Rhinolophus ferrumequinum: one gene and its partner. The protein of the gene in region 1 interacts with the protein of each later gene in a pairwise test. Links are inferred from orthologs where the notes say so. Each region holds a gene or a part of one and is shown in the gene's direction. Other genes may lie near its edges.

Region 1 (8,208 bases):
CAACTAGTTACAGCTGATGACCATCTACTACCTGAGCTACTACCCGAACCATTACCTTTCCATGTGAGGCCGAGAGCCTGGAAACTGCTCTCTGGGACTCTGTCCCCACAATGGGCCACTATTGAGCTGCGCCCTCCTTAAAAGAAAAAAAAAGTATAAAAGGAGAGTCACGGGAGGAGAGGATGGGCTGGACATGCAGGGACAAACAGTAGTTTTGGCTTCTTTAATTGAGCTAGCGTGAGTGGGTTTCTGTACCACAAGCAGAGAGCATTAACTGGAACATCATGAAATCAAGAGAGAAAATCAGGGCCAAAGTCCTACCCTGAGGGACCACCAAACAAAAGCAGCTTAATCTCTCTTCACACAGCTACATAAGACTTTCCAGCTGGAAAGACCCTAGAGGATAGCATCAGCATCATCTGAGAAATTAAGATAAACCAGACCCTTTGCATGAACTATCAACCCTTCAACATGGGGCACAACAATTGTAGTATTACCTTCATTTTACAAATGCGTAAAAACAGAGGCTTAGAAACCTGCCTTTAATTAAAGTTACTGTGGTAAATGAGTTACAAAAATGGCCATGACTGATTGCTCTTCCTGTATCTTCATCCTTTAAAGTGTGACTTTGCAGCTGCTCCCATCAAGGGGTGGAATCTGAGCTGGCCCCGCGACTTGCTTTGGTCACTACAATGTGGCAGAAATGGTAGTATGTCGGTTCTGAGGCTAGGCTGAAGCGGTCTTAAATGCTGCCTCTTGATTTCTTAGAACCCTGTGCATGTGAAGGAGTCCAGGCTATTCTGGCAGATGAGAACACAAGGCCCAGTCACCCCTGTGATCAATAGCCAGCCAACCACTGGAGGTGTGAGACCATCCTAGACGAGCCAGTCCTAGGTGATCCACTAACAGCCAACTGCCAGATATGTAAATGAGACCATCCTGGACCAGGCAGCCCCCAGACAACCCACCTGCTGAACGCAGGCGTGAGCGAGTCCAGCCAAGATCAGCCAAACCTGACCCAGATCAGCAGAACCACCTAGCCGACCCACAGGCTTACAAGCTAAATAATTGCTTAGACTTTGAAGCCAGTAAGTTTTGGTGGATTTGTTAGGCAGCAACAAATGTACATGCAGAGGATCTGGGACGTGAACAGAAGACCATCTGACTCCAACACCAGTGAGTGTTCTCAAATCCTGCGCACATGTGCCCTGGCTAATGCAATACTTTCCTTCTGAGAAGCAGCCTATGTAGCATCTTCATTTGATTTTAGGATTGGTCAGGGTGGGTTCAAAATCTTGCAGATTACTGAGCAACTGGGTAGGTTAACCACTTCAAACCTTGGTTTCCTCATTTTGTTAACTGTGGCTATCTCACACAGACACCAGGAAGGTAAAATGAGATAGTACGTCTAAAGTACCCAGAGATTCCTGGAAGATGGAAGTCTGCAATGGGTCCAAAAGTAGAATTTCTCTTTCAGTGTTTATGTCCAAGCAACTGACAGTTTTAGGAATGGCTCTCTCTCCTTAGAGATACTGACTTTTTATAGCTTGAAACCTTTAGTTCTACAAGAATGCATTACGTTGTCCCCCAATTATCAGCTTTTTTTCTAGATCAGTATTTCTCAGAGTCAATTCTACATAGATCACTTACATAACAGTCACCAGCTGTTTGTCAAATGCAGATTTCACCACCTCATCCCAGACGTCCTGAATTAGAGTCCTGGGAAGGAGCGGGGTCTGAGAATCTACATTTTAAACAAAATTCCCCAATAATTTCATGCACCTTTTAGTTTTAGAACTGCTGCTTAGACTCCTCTGCCAAGAATTTCAAACACAAGGAAGCATTGCATTTTCTTACTCTATTATTGCTTTCTAGTTGGGTGTTCCCCTAGGCTGTTTTGCATCCTAAGATTTTAGGTCAAAAAAGATACATTGGCACCTTTTTTTTGCAGACATAGTGTAGACATAGCCACCAACTTTTTGGTGGAAATAGAGTACACAACAGTGAATGAAACAACCCAGATGATACTCTGATGTTTAAAAAAGTATATCAACATGTTACTCCTTGAATAAATACTGAGAAAACAGTTTTTCCTGTTCCTATAGTCCTAGATGTGGTCTTATGCTAGATACAGGAAAAAAGGAGTGGAGTGGGGAGGGCATTTACCAACAATATTAACTTGTTTTTACTGTTATTATCAATAACATTATTGTTTTCACAAAGCTAGCATTAAGAGGAATAGGCAATGACCTTAAATTGACTTTGAAGTTTGTTCAGTCTGAGCTAGCTTTAACAGGAACATTTTTGTTCACCTTCTGAAGTAGCCATTAGAATTGTGGGAGTGTTTCACTAGTGCTAAATTGTCAAGTTCACTGAACTATATAGTTAAAAGTTTAAAGGGTTTTAGTCTGATGTCCTTTCAGCTGATCTGTTTCATGGTATCATGTTTTTTAGAATACTTTTTCACTAAGAGTAGAAAAGGGGGGAAAATAACAAGGAAACTACTACAAAAAAATGCTGTTGGAAGCCTATTCCTCTTCAGATTGCACCAGTGCTTACAACTTTTGATTCAAAACTCTTCATTTCCTACAAATACTTTTTTTCACTATTCCAAAGGTGGAAGAGGCTCTGAATAGCAAAAGTGCTGTGTTTTTTGAAAACTGCTGGACAACTTCTCATCTCTAACAGTACTGAAATTTTGCCATACCAATCTGTGTATGACAAACTGTAAAACATATGCATAAAAAAATCTAGACTCTTCTAATTGTGCCAATCCGTGGTTAAAAACTTACTTCTGGAGCCACACAGCTGTTGAAATCAGTCATATTTACAATTTTTACAAATGAGTTTATTTTAATAAAAACAAGTTACTCTGTGAGCATGGTCTCTAAACAGATTTATGTGGGCTGGCACAATCTGCTATGCTAAACATATATTCATATTGCTTAGGTCTGCAACCAGTTTTTATGTGTGGTAACAGTCTTGCTTTGTACAAGGATACCAAATAATTGGCAGCAATTCAGCTAAGGACACTGTTCTCAGCACTGTGCTGTTAAAATTGTTTTCCTGGACAGAATTGCCCTGTGGGCATGGCCCTAAATTAGGAGGACTGTAGGCTGCTGGCATTGGGCAGTGAATCAGGCAGACAGCTTATAGAGAGAAGGAGGTGACTATATAAACTGGTGCTAAAGAAGAAAAAGGAGGGGGAAAAAAGGAAGGAAGAAAAAAAGCAAGGGAAGGAGAAAGGAAGGAAGAGGGAGAGGGAGGGAGAGGGAAGGACGATGAGGGGGAGAGAGGGAAGGGAGAGAGAGAGAGATGTGATTTATATTCATCACTCCATACCCTTAAAGTGGTCTCTTTATGTACCTCTCCTTGATCTCACCTTAAACCTTACTTGATGTTTTTATGTTCATGTTTTTTGCTTGGTTGCTAGACTGTAATCTCCTTGAAGACAGAACTATTGCCTGACTCAGCTTTGCATCTCCTCCATTGCCTGGCATACGTTGGGGCTCAGAAAACCTTGTTAAATGCATGAACAAAAGATTGAATTTCTGTATCTGAAGCATTTCCTTTCCTCAGAGATAAGTACTAGAGAAGGCCTCAGGGGGCACAGTACTGCCCCCTAGGGGGCGTATTGAAACTTTGTGGGGGCAGTTTGTGTCCTGTAGTTCTCATATTGGTGCGGAGTATTTATTTACATAGTGAAAAACATTTTATAATTTTTGTTGATATTAGTATAGCATTTTGGAGTATAGTATAAACTTTCTCTTTTTTCACCTTTATGTTATTAGAATATTGGTTTCTTGAAATTATTTGCGTAGTTTACATTAGCTATGAATTTAATTCCAAGAGAGTAAAATGATGTTAGATTTTTGTTGTAAATATAGGGTGTTGAGTATGGCAGAACTGAGAACCTCTGTTTATGAAATCATTATGCTTTGCTTGCTTCTGCTTCCACCTAGTATTCTGAGATGAAACATACAAATGAAAAGAAGCTGTGCATTGATTTCAACAATCAGGCTTTCACTTTAATCAACTGCGTATTTTAGGATTGATGCAGTTCAGTGGAGCACTACAAAGCACAGAGGGTCCATGACTGGAGTAGGGGTGGGGGATGAACCTCAAGTCACCCGAGTTCTCACGTCCGGGTCCGTGAATCTGTGCAGAGTAGCTTGAAGGATGAGTCGTTTCTCTTTGCTTTGGTTTATACTTTTCTTCATTTTAAAAATGATGTGGGAGTTGAGGGAAGGGGAGGTGGGGAGGGACGATGATGACGTCCAGTTTTCCCCAAAGCCTAGGCCCTCAGATGGCCCCCTCTGCGGGGCTGGTTCACACTGAAGCTGTCTGGATTTGAGGACCACAGCTTGCAAAGAAAGCCCTCCTGAATAGTGACTCATGAGCGGGGAAAGGTGGGCTTTCGGGGAGCAGAGGGAACAGAGGGTGGGACCGTTTTGCACAGCGGTTCGAAGTGAGGTTGAACGGAACTTTTGGTGTCAGCGGGCAGAGCTGCCACTAGTGGTGGAGTAGGGACACTAGAGGCAAGAGGCGGGGTGACGGTTGACAGGTCGTGAGGTTTGGGGCTAGAATCGAGACGGGCCTCAGGAAGGCGGGGCTTCTATTGACAGAGGGCGGGGCTTCCGTTGAAACAGGGCGGGGTTTGGACAGAACTGCCACCTGGAAATGGGGCTTACGATGAGAAGGGGCATTTCTCAAGACCCGGCGGTGACAATAAGAAGGCGGAGCGCTCAATGGGCGGGGCCACAGTGACAGAAGGCGGAGCTGCCTTCAGGATAGACCTGAGTGAAGACTAGGCTTCTGTTGGTAGAGGGCGGAGCTATCGCCCGCAAGGGGCGGGACCGCTCTGAGACTTGGAGAAGGCGGGGCTTCGGTTGATGGGGGCGGGGCCTCCGTAAACAGAGGCGGGGCTTCTGTTGACAGCGGGGCGGGGCAGCTCCTTACCTCCCGCGGTGCGCCAATTCAGGGGGTAGAGGCCGCGGTCGAACCCCACCGCAGCAGCAGGGTCCGGGAGTGAAGAACCCGGCGCGCAGCGGGGTGGGGGCGCGCAGAGGGCGCGCGCGCGGGCGGGCCCCGCCTCGGCCGGCACTTCTAGCTCCACACCCGCAGCCGGCCGCTGGGGCGCGCGCCTCGCCTCGCCCCCCACCCCCGACCCCCGACCCTCCGGTTCCACGGGGCCCGCTGAGCTCGGAGGCCGTGTGCTGGCCCGCCGAGCGGTTCCGGGTGTAAGGTTCACAGGTCAGAGTTGACTCCCTGAAAAGTGCAGCCGCTTTGAAATGCAAGATGGCGGCGGCGGGGCGCTGAGAGGCGCGGCGGCCCCTGCAGGTAGCCGGCTCGGCGACGAGTCGGCCGGGGTTCACCGGGGCTGCGGGTGGGAACCGGAAGCTCAGAGCCCTCGGCCGGCACGGCGGCCGGGGAAAGCGAGTGGCGCGCGGACCGGATGGAGGAGGGCGGCCCCAGGGTAGAGACCCCGGGGGGACTGAGCGTGCTCCGGGCTGCGCGTGGCGGGGCGGACCCGGCGCTGGGCGTCCGAAGGGGAGGGACCGGGCCTGCCTGGGCCGGGCATCGCCACCGGCCGCAGACCCTGAGCTTCCTTCGCATATGCGGGGTCTCTGCGGCCGGGGAAGGAGCTGGGGAGTGGGCTCTGTAAGGGAAAATCTCAGCCTCCCCCAGCCTACGAGAGGGCTGAGCAACTTGGGATTGCTGAGGAGTGTGAAGACTGGGTCTCCCGGGGGGAGGACGCCGCAGGGATGGAGGACCCCAGTAATGTTTAGGGTCCTAAGGGAGATCGGGAGCCCTGCACTGCTGGGGGGCGTGTGGCCTGGTGAGGACTCAGTCTCCCTGAAAGTAAGGAGAGATTCTCTTGCTGGAGCTGAGCGCACTGGCATTTGGGTTGGAGCCCTGGGAAACAATTCGGGGAAAGCTGTACCCGACTCTGGGGCCAGACCGTGCCCCCGCTTTGGGGCAAGACTCAGAGTTGAGTCCTTAAGAACTGTATTGCGTTTTAAGGAAGCCCTGGGACTTAGGGTGAAGTTAATTACAGAGAATGGAATTGTTACCGGTCCCTTTCAGGAGGGAAACAAGGAGGCTGACCAAGGACTGCTCCAAGCTTAGGGCCTAAAGGAAACAATCGCCTCATCCTTGCGGGGAATGAAGGGCTGGGAAGGAGATAGGAGAGGAAACTGGTTTAATGGCAGGAAAGAAGAGCCCCGAGGGATGCCCTGTCCCCGTGTATTTCCACCAAAGTTCTTGGTACAAGAGACTTGAAATTCTTTGTTTCATGCGTGTCCCCCCCCTCTCCCCTCTTTGGCTAACGGTAAGGAAAAAGCAAAACCCCAGAGAAAGAACGGGTACCCCTTAATATCCTTAGCTTAGGTTAGTGAAGGATGAAGCTCTGGCAAGGATTCCATGCGAGACTCGGGTAGGAGTATTAGGAAGCGGGAAAGGGGATGGATAGAGGAGGGATATAGGGAAGAGATTGGTCAGAGCGGGAATTCACAGAGGTGCCCTCTCATCTCTCGCCCCAGCTCTAAAGAAAAACAAGAGAAGAGGCTAATCTTGGCGGGGTGGGGTGGGGTGGGGGGCGATGATGTAAGCAAAGGCTCATTGATCGAGAAATCGTAATGTGATTAGGTTGGGATTCCATGTAACTTGAAAGGAAGAAGCAGTTCCCTTGGAGGTGAAGAGGATAGCAGCAGAAAAGGGAAAATCACAGGACTGGGAAATAGAATGGTTCACAGTTAGGGAGGAAGAAGCAGCTTTCCCCCAGGAATGGTGACTGCTTGGAGTGTATGTGTGTAGGTACCTACACAAATGCACGTTTAGATTTGTTGGTATTGGTCATTGCTTCTCAGTCTTTGTCTGAAAGCTTTAAATTAACTTGTGTTATGTGGTGCTACGTGAATGATCTTAGCTTTTGACAAATTATCCTGCAGACGTTTGTTTTTATGCCAACAGTGAGGATGAACAGAAGTTGGTTCTAACAGGGATATTGGCCTTAGTATATCCATAGATTTTTTGAAATTTCTCAAGTAGCAGTTTGGACTCTTGATTATAAGCAAAAGCAATGTTGAGTTCTGCCAAAGACAATAATGCGGTAACAGGATGTATAAAAGAGAAAGGGCTGTCATGAATATTTTTCCTCTCACTTTTTCTCTGCTTACTCTAAGCATTTTAGGGCTAAGCTGACTAATTTTATGCAAGATAAAATGTAAATTCTTGGATCCTTTCAACACAGAAGTGATAGCATTTCATGTATCAATGAATCTTTTTGTAAAAGAACCTCTTCAAATGCTTTATTTAATAATCAGGATGAAAATGAGAAAAAAAGAATTAAGACTTGGGTAACTGATGACAGCTATGATTCATGCAGATTTCTTGAACCATTCTACTATTTTTAAGAGCGCTTTAACATCTTCAATGGAAATTTTTTTAAAAACACATTTCAAGTATAAACTAGTTTCGAGCTGCACATTTGGAACATTATTTTACATGTGTGCTGTTCTTTGGTTTCCCCAAAGTGCATGTAGCTTTAGTTTTATATTCAATTCTGAACAGATTAGGCTGGGTGATCCAGAGTGGTATTGATGCCAGATGGTTTGAAAATATGCTAAGGCTGAAAACATAAATGTGCCTGTGCTGGGAACACTCATTAGTAGGTGTCTTTCCCTTATAGCAAGTTGATTATTTCCTTGAATTTGGAGGACAGCTCATGAATGATGTAGCAATTATTTTTTACCTTTAATGATACTCATATTTCAATAAATGCGAATTAAGTTTTATAATTATTTTATTAATGAACTTAATAGAATAGGTGAGGTAGTTTATTTTGGAAATTTTCTCCCCTTTTGTATTATATTTCACATTAAGACTGAAAGTTGATGTTATGATGTATTATACATTTTCTTTCTTGTAATGTTAGTTGGGCACAATAATGTGATATTTGGGACTAGTTTGCTTTAAATTATAGCTTTGTACTTAAACGGAAGTACTCTTAAAGTTGTTAAAATGATTACAAATGTAGCAGAGGAAATAATCTTTTTATGTACATTGTGGCATTGTGGATTTGTGCTCAAAAGACTTTACTTATTTGAATATTAACAGTGTTGAAAGCTCAGTGCCTAAGCTGGTTTCCAATCATACATCATTTCAATACATTCAGGGAAGTGTTTGGAAATATCTATTGCACTATTT
Region 2 (8,076 bases), on another chromosome or scaffold:
AATACAATTAGTAATAAAAACCCCAAAGTGTGCTAACTTTCACTTTTTCTTTTACTTTCTTTGCCCATTCTGGGGGAGTTTTCAAACTAGGGATAAGAAAAAGAGAAATTAATGCAAATAAGAAAGGACAAGCCCCATGAATGGCAGGCACTGTGTGAAAGGTGACACCGGGCTCAGCTAGAAGAGGGAGGTGGAGAAAGCCTGGAAAGGCAGGGCTGGGTGAGGGGTAGAAACAGAGACACGCAGCTGTCAAGGAAGCAGAACTTTCTGTGTCTGACGTTCTCAGCGCGGTTAAATAAAAAGAGAAAAGGAAGTTGTGTTGTCTGCAGCTTTTCTCCGACTTTATCTAAATATTGCATGTGAGCAAAAGAGACCATCAAGCGATAGGTGCAGAGATAACGACAGAATCATTCAGGAAATACTTTCGGACTGTAATAATTTTTAAGAAAGTGTAATTTAGCACTACAATTATTTGCTTTTAATTTTAATGCTCCCCTAGATTTTTAGTACCTACCCATTTCACCCAAGAAATCTAAAATGTTTTACATAATTTTCTTCAGCTGTTTGATGGACTTATCACCAGGTATTTCCTCAACATACCAGGGAGAGGGTTAGAATACAACAGGACATTTTATGTTTCACTATTAGAAGATAATTTTTTCATGAACTATTTATTTAAAATTGTTACTTATCACCTAAGACTTTTGAAAATTTCTCTCAACACTGTTGGTATAACAAACCTGAAACCTCCATAAACATAATGTCACTTTTAATTTTATGTCAATTATGCAAATCTGAAAAAAATCTTCTCTAAATATTAGAAAATGGAGGATCTTTCAGAACAAGATACAGTTCCAAAGTCACTGATGGGAAACTAATGTTTCCTTAAACATGGATTTGTGTGGGGAGGAGCATAAATACCCAATCACAACTATCATGAAGGAAGAGAATAAAAAGGGAAATCTTAAATACTATACTCCACAGGACTGGGTGTTAAAGAAGCTCAGAATGTTTCTCACATGTTTTCCTTTGTTAGCACAAATAGTGGTAATGAGAGAAAAGAATTTCTGCCTAACGTGGCCCTGAGGGCCATGTGCTCAGATGCACTGTCACCATCACTGCGAGTAAACCTGGATGAGAACGGGGAAGCCAGTGTCTCCTGTCTAATATAAACTCACTACTGAAATCCTGCATCGGCTTGTCCTGTGTGTAGATTGTGAAAAAACTTTGTCCTCTCTAAATAGTGACAAGATGTTGAAAGGGTATCCCCGAGGAGAAACTGGAGGATGTATATAAAAATGTAAATGTATCTTCTGGTGTTTTATATGTTTAAAGGGAGAAGAGGGAGAAAGGACTCTACCTGGAGCCAACCAGTCTGATGACCTCTGCAGAGGCCAGGAGTCATTTAAGCCCAAACAAAACAACTACCAGAAGGGGGGAAAGAAAGAAGTGAAACCAGGGGTGAAGACAAATAAGGACGTGTGAACCAGGAAGGATACCTGATAAAGAGCTTGTGTAAAACAGCTTAGAATAGGCACAGACAACGGGATTCCATGGACAGGTGTGAGAACAGCCCTGGAGGTTGTGGCATCTTAAAGCACACTTAGTAAAGCTCCCTCACTTTACAAAGGAGAAGGCAGATGCCTGGAAAGGCTGCCATTGCCAAAGTTACAGAACTAGTTGGAAGCAGTGTTTGGGAAAGTGGCTGTTGGGTCCACCCGGGCTGATACTTGCATTTCTTCTTTTCCAAGGTATGGCAATTAGGCCGCATCTGTCCTGGGGCTTGGCTGGATGGAACTGAAAGTGTGAGGAAGCTACCTGGGGGGATGGGGACATGGGCTGTGATTGACAGGTCTGCTTTTATTATCCTGTGTGTCAGGCTCCAGGTTGTGACACATTTTATAATCTGTAGCTCACTTAATACCTTGTTTATCCTGTAAAGTGGGTATTATTGTCCCCATTTTACAGATGACAATAATAACAGGAGCTATTAATTATTGAGCAGTTGTTCCAACCAGGCACTATTATAGGAATTACACATTTTCTCAGTTAATCTTCTCCATGATTCTATGAAATATGATAATGATATCTTTCCTAATTTAAAGATGAAGAAAATGAAACACAAATTGGTAAATAACTTGTCCAAGGTCAACAGCTAGAGAATGTTGGAGTCAGGATTCTAATCCAAACAATCTGGTGTCAAAAATCCATGCTCCTGACAAATGGGGAAGTTGAGGTTCAAAAAGTGAAACCATTTCCTCGATGTCTTCCGGCATTGTAGCTTGAACTTGAACTCAAGCATTCTACACCAAAGTTTGTCTCTTTCTATGTGGTGTTGGAGAAGAGACAGGGCAAAAGCTAGGTCCCAGCTTAGGAGGGAAAAGATGCACAGGTGCACAAACACCCTTTTCATGTTCTATGCGAGCTGCTTCCCTTGAAATGTCCAGAAGCATGCTAGCTGGGCTGTGGTCGGTCCCTCTGTAGTAGCTACTGTACATTCACAGGCAGAAGCAGGAGACGTGCAGCACGAGCCTGACCGGAGCTGAAGAAACGCCTGGACCTGCGCCGGGGACCAGGCCTGATGGCTGGGAACCATGGAGTCGTGCAGGCAGCGGGGGACTGCACTTTCCATACAAATAGAGCTCCTGTCTTACTTACACCAGAAAGTTTTTTAAATTAAAATACGCATAGTGCCTGCTTCAGACTTAGCCACCAAGAATCGCAACGTTGGTAAATGGTAATTGCCATGACAAGGTTGGGTCCAAAACTTTTTGGTTTCAAAAACATGATTTTTAATCATCCAAGGTGATTAGGCACTTGGAAACTAAGCAACACTAGCTAAACTCATATATAGCAATTTAATACCAAAATATTAATTTACCTTTAGAGAAGATAGGGAAAAACTATATTCACATCTAAAATACTACCTATTACAAAAGACTATGAAATCAGCCAATCAGAAGTTAGAAACACACAGAATAAAATCAAAGGAAGTTTGTAAAATCAAAGAACAGCTACAAAACATTTTATTGACCCCTAAGGCATTGTCACTCTGCACTCTGTAGTGGCCAGCTCCGTGGCCATTCACTTCAGCCTCTATCTTGTATTAAATAATGGTTCTTCTCCACTCTGGGGGGAGGGGCTGTTGCATGTTTCATAGCAGGCCACACGTTCCTGTGGTTGTGACTTTTAGTTCCCTCCCTGCATCAGGAAACACCTCTAAAGGTAAATGAGTGAAGAAAATACCATGACAGGGATAGCCTTGCACACTCGCATGCACTCATTTGCAACAGTGCACACTCATTACTAGTAACTGATTGCTTGTGGTCATATCTTACATTGCAAAACTATGTGTTTTATAGTACTGCACATAGACGAATCTTTACTTCTTAAGTCTCCTTTTTCTGGATTGGCAGGTTCCAGGAGATACCGCAGGCACTCGGTCTGAGGGACAGTCCTGTCTGCTCTGTTTTCTAGGATGAGGATCCAGATAAGATCTCATTGCCTTGTCATTGTGATAAGATAGTGAGTGTAAGGTAATAGTTACTTAAACCCACTTTATGTGATTTAAAATAGTTAATCTCATTGATAAGTAACACATTTATAAACCTTTTCTTGTGGTGAGCTGCTTCTGACAATTACCCACATACATTTTACATTTATTTTTATTACGTTCAATTGCCTGATATTTATATTTTTTCGTTTTTTTAATATACATTTTGGGATGTGAACTATGTGTAGATTGCAGCTACAAATCGCTCTATGCAGTAACTAAAGAAATCAATGGAAAATAAGATTCTATACAACTGAAGTTTATAATTTGTTTTTTGAAAAGTGTATATTCTTTCAAGTAAGGGATATCTACGTGGTGTGGTTCCCATGGGAGCAACCAATGTCTTGGGCTAGTTATTAATTTTTTTCCTGATTATGAACAAAGATTTTTTTTTTAAAATGTTACCTGTAACCCAAAGAAATATGCATTGTTAACACTTTCTTCTGCATTATTTCCTTCTAATAGTTAAAGAATGGAGATCATATGTACAAGGTGTGATCAAAAAGCATGGTGAATGTTTAAATTTAAAAAATTATAAGAGTAAAAGACACATTGCCACTAACCCCCCTCAAAAATACTCCCCCTCGCTTTGAACACGCTTAGAAGAATTAGTGTTGTATGGGTGTCCTTCTTTAGGTGGTGTTAAGTCTCCGAAACATTTCCGAGTTGATGACACACTATTCCTTGTGGCCCACTATTCTTTCTTTTTCTCCTCTGCTCCTTTGTCGCCTCTTTGCAATCCGGCAGATAAATTCGTGGTGTAACATAAGTTGTATGGAAATAACTATTTAGTCTTTGGGCCTCCCCCCAACTCCCAGCCCCAAACCACTGGTCCCCACTATTTCCCCCACCCCTACCCCATCTTCCCTCAGCTGAGAGAAAAACGAGGTCAATAAAACTGTTGTAAGGGAAAATAGAGCCAAGATTTTAAGTTCTAGGCAAAATCGATAGGAAACCTGGGGATAACCTATCTAACTTACATTAGTTAGAATGAGAGAGAGTATCTGGGTATAAAAACTGAAATTATGCCTAAAACATTTAATTGGAGAAAAATGTGGTGTCAGTCATACAGTCACTTGTTTCCTAAGGTGAGCTTCCTTTTATACATATTAATATATAATGTTGTCTACTTTATAGATGATTTTTTTTTTAAACCGTCATTTACTTAAAGCTGTTAATTCCTTGCTCCAGCATTTGAACCGGGTATAGCTTGCTTTCTTTGACACCCTTTAATCTCTCTGCTGGATTTAAACGGCATATATTTATGTGTAAAAATAAAATGAGTTGAAGTTATTTGGGGATGTCCCTTGAGAGAACCAAGAACTCTGTGGGGTGTATCAGAACCAGGGCTGTGAATGGCTGAAAGGTTGTTTCTTTGACCTGTTCAAGTACCGCCCATTTCTAAATCCTAACCCAGTCTAGAGGCCAGCTAAGAAAGATTGACGACTTGGATCAGAATCGCAACACTTCTTGGACCGTCTCTTCCCAATGATTTTCAGATCCATATGTGCAATGGGACGCAGAGTAAGAAATTTTGGCCGAAAGGTCTTCCTTCCAAATTCCTAGTGCAGAAAGTCATGAGGGAAAACTTGCGGCGTCTGCAGAAGCACGCCGACCTCAGGGACTTCCTTAACCGACACAGCGGGGTCCTCTCTGGTTAGACCTAGAACGAGCAGTCTCTTCCTCCTTGCACGAACTTGCAGAGTTTCTGCCTAGTTGAAAATGGGCGGCCCTGTCCTTTTGGAGGTCCTATGTGTGTGTGTGTGTGTGTGTGTGCGTGTGTGTGTACAGAATACGGAATCAGACAGCCCTGCAATTCCTTCTGAGGGCAGAATTAAAACGCTATCAAAGCCACGTCCCCAATTTTGCTAACGGGAGCATCCGCTCTCCTCCAAGGCCGGAGCTGCCCCGGCGGCGGGAGGCGGCGGCCCGCAGCGCGGCCGCGCGGAACAATGCGGGCCGGGACTTTGTGCGCCCGTCCGCGCCCGCGCGCCGGCACGTACGTCGCCTCCACGTGTGCGGCCGCGAGGTGCATGTGCGGCTCCGGGAGAATATGCTGGAACCGCAGGACGAAGGGAAGGTGGGTGTGGGCGCGCACGACGCCGGCCTTCGGGAGGGAGCCGCGCCTCGAGAGCGCACGGCGCGGCCGGCCGCACAATAAAGTCCGGGGGCGGGCGCCGCGGAGGAGGCCGCTTGGGAGCCGCGCGGGCCTAGCAGGACGCCGACTGCCCTGCGGCCGCACCGGCTTCCCGCCCGGCCCCCGGCCCGCCGCTCGGCGTGGAGACCCCGTAAGTGCGGGCGGCGGCGGGCCCCTTCCCGGCACCGCCGCCCGCGGCCCTGCACCGCCGCCCCTTCCCTCCCGGCGCCCGCGCGGCGGTGCTGCGGCTGTAAACATGGCGCCCCGAAGCGCGCGCCGGGGAGACGCCGGGGCGCGGGCGGCGGGGGCGGCGGGCTGCTGGGCGACGCCGGGGAGGGGGCCGGGGAGGGAGGGGCCCGGGCCGCGGAGCCGGGGAGGAGGGCGGCGGGGCGAGCGGGAGGCCGGGCTCGCGGAGACGCCGGGGCGGCAGGCGGAGGCCGGCGCCCAGGCCCGGGGGAGGCGGCGCGGCGCGGCCCGGAGCAGAACGGTGGGAAGGGCGCGGGGCCGGGCGGGGCGCGGGGCCGTGTGGAGCACGGCTGGCTGAAGCCTCTCGGGGCGCCGATCGGGTGTGACCGTCGCTCGCCGTCTCTGCCCGCGGAGCTTTGTGTGCGGCGGGCCGGGCCTGGGGGGTCCCGCCCGCGCTCCCCTGTCTTCGGCGGGCCCGGAGGGGGAGGAGGCCCAGAGCGAGACCGCGCGAGGCCTGCTGGGGCTGGGAAGCCGGGGTGTCGCGTGAGCGCCGCCCGCCAGGCTGGCCTTCCCCGCGCGGCCAGGCCTCGGGGCCGGCTCGGACGCTGCTCTGTGTGCGGAGGGCGCGTTCGCTGTAGCAGCTCGTTGTTCGGCAGCGATAGTCGAGGCTGGGCAGGCGGCCCCCAAGGACCCACGCGGGGCTCGGTCCGCGTTCCCCAGGGCTGGGAGCCCGCGACGGCGCGGCCTCCGCCGCCTCAGCAGGCCCTCCGGCCCCTGGGACTGCCCGTGCGGTCCGCAAAGGAGCTGCCAGGCCCTGGCTCTTGGGGTGGCCCTGGGACCCCAGCTTCCACGTGCACCGACCCTCGCGCTGCTCGCCTGGGCCGGCTCTGGACGCTTTACGGTGTGGGCCTGGTGCCGGGCCTGTCCATGGTCCGGTGTGTACGTGGCGCTGCCCGGGTTGTGTACGGTGTTTCCACTGTGCCCGGCATCGTGGCGTGGGCACGGAACTCGGTGTACCTGCTGCTGTATACGGTGTGCTCATGATACCGGTGTGTCCACGGTGCCCCGTTATACGTGGTGTGGGCATGGTGCCCGATGTGCACGTGGTACCTGTGTTACGTACAGTGTGTGGCCGTGCCGGCAGTCCACGGGGCCGGTGTTATGTAGTGTCTGAATGGTACCTGGTGTGGGCACGTGATACCCAGTGTTACATGCAGTGTGTCCGCGGGTGTCCGGTCCTTGCACGTCTGAGGTGTCTGAGCTCAAAGCAGGTGGCCAGGTAGCCTTTTCAGGATGGGTGTCTGAAGGTTGCATGGGTCCATCCGATTCTGAGGTTAGGTCCTGGGTCCTCCCGTCTACCTCACCCAGGTGTTTTGCATCCTACTGTGGGCCTTGTCCATGGAGGCAAGAGCCTGCTGAAGCATCATCTGTCCGTCAATCTGCCCGTAGAAAGGCAGAAAGTAAAACGTTTACTTACTTTACTTTTAAACTGAGAAATGTAGTTGAAGTGTATGTAGTAATTGTGGGATGCATAACCATTTCAGGATTTTGGGTCACTGATTCTAATTAATGGTTGAAGTTATCAGGCAGATAGCGTTGGTTATACTTGAAAAGTTGGAGTGCTTTTTGGTTAGCAAGGTCACCTTTGATTTTTCTGAATTCTAATTTGTTCAAGCGGGAGATGAAATACGAATTTTGTACAGGCATGTTATTTTCCTTGTCGTTGGTTAATTCGTGCTGGTTACAGTCATTATTTTGGTGGACTCTTCTTTATAAGATGGCCAGGCTGGAAAATCAAAGATTAGAAGATACAGAATGTGTTTATGACATAGTAAAATATTTTTCTTGCTTAGCTCTGCCTGTGGTTAACAGGATTTCTTTTTTACATCGTATTTTTTTTTAACACATGTGTTTCATATGACTGCTGAATCTCCCTTTTGCATTCTGTAATTGGGTGATTTAATTTTTGCACTTACCTTTTACAAAGTGTTTAAATAAACATGCAAGTGCTTCCAGCTTTACAAAGAAAAAATCACAATGTTAAAATTTAGCTCCTTTGTTCCTATTGAATATTTCTCAGATATCATTGTGTTGCTACTTTGAGTGAATGTCATCTTGCATGTTTCTGTGAATTGACGTGTGTTTATGTGAACTCCCACCCTTTTGTAACCCGATCCCCATTTTCCTTTAAGGGTTGTTG

Evidence for each region.
Region 2: the proteins of ZHX1 (region 1) and ZMYND11 interact in a two-hybrid assay, tested with the Homo sapiens proteins (2 studies listed by BioGRID and IntAct). The link is inferred for Rhinolophus ferrumequinum from reciprocal best matches to the Homo sapiens genes ZHX1 and ZMYND11.

Annotation. Positions count from the first base shown.
Region 1 is NC_046297.1:60,658,730-60,666,937, reverse strand, and holds the start of ZHX1 (zinc fingers and homeoboxes protein 1), read left to right. Parts: upstream 1-5,100; 5' UTR 5,101-5,253; exon of another isoform or gene 5,254-5,340; intron 5,341-5,364; exon of another isoform or gene 5,365-5,476; intron 5,477-8,208. UniProt on the Homo sapiens protein: Acts as a transcriptional repressor. Increases DNMT3B-mediated repressive transcriptional activity when DNMT3B is tethered to DNA. May link molecule between DNMT3B and other co-repressor proteins.
Region 2 is NW_022680364.1:419,574-427,649, forward strand, and holds the start of ZMYND11 (zinc finger MYND domain-containing protein 11), read left to right. Parts: upstream 1-4,955; 5' UTR 4,956-5,077; intron 5,078-5,429; exon of another isoform or gene 5,430-5,633; intron 5,634-5,699; exon of another isoform or gene 5,700-5,841; intron 5,842-6,099; exon of another isoform or gene 6,100-6,177; intron 6,178-8,076. UniProt on the Homo sapiens protein: Chromatin reader that specifically recognizes and binds histone H3.3 trimethylated at 'Lys-36' (H3.3K36me3) and regulates RNA polymerase II elongation. Does not bind other histone H3 subtypes (H3.1 or H3.2).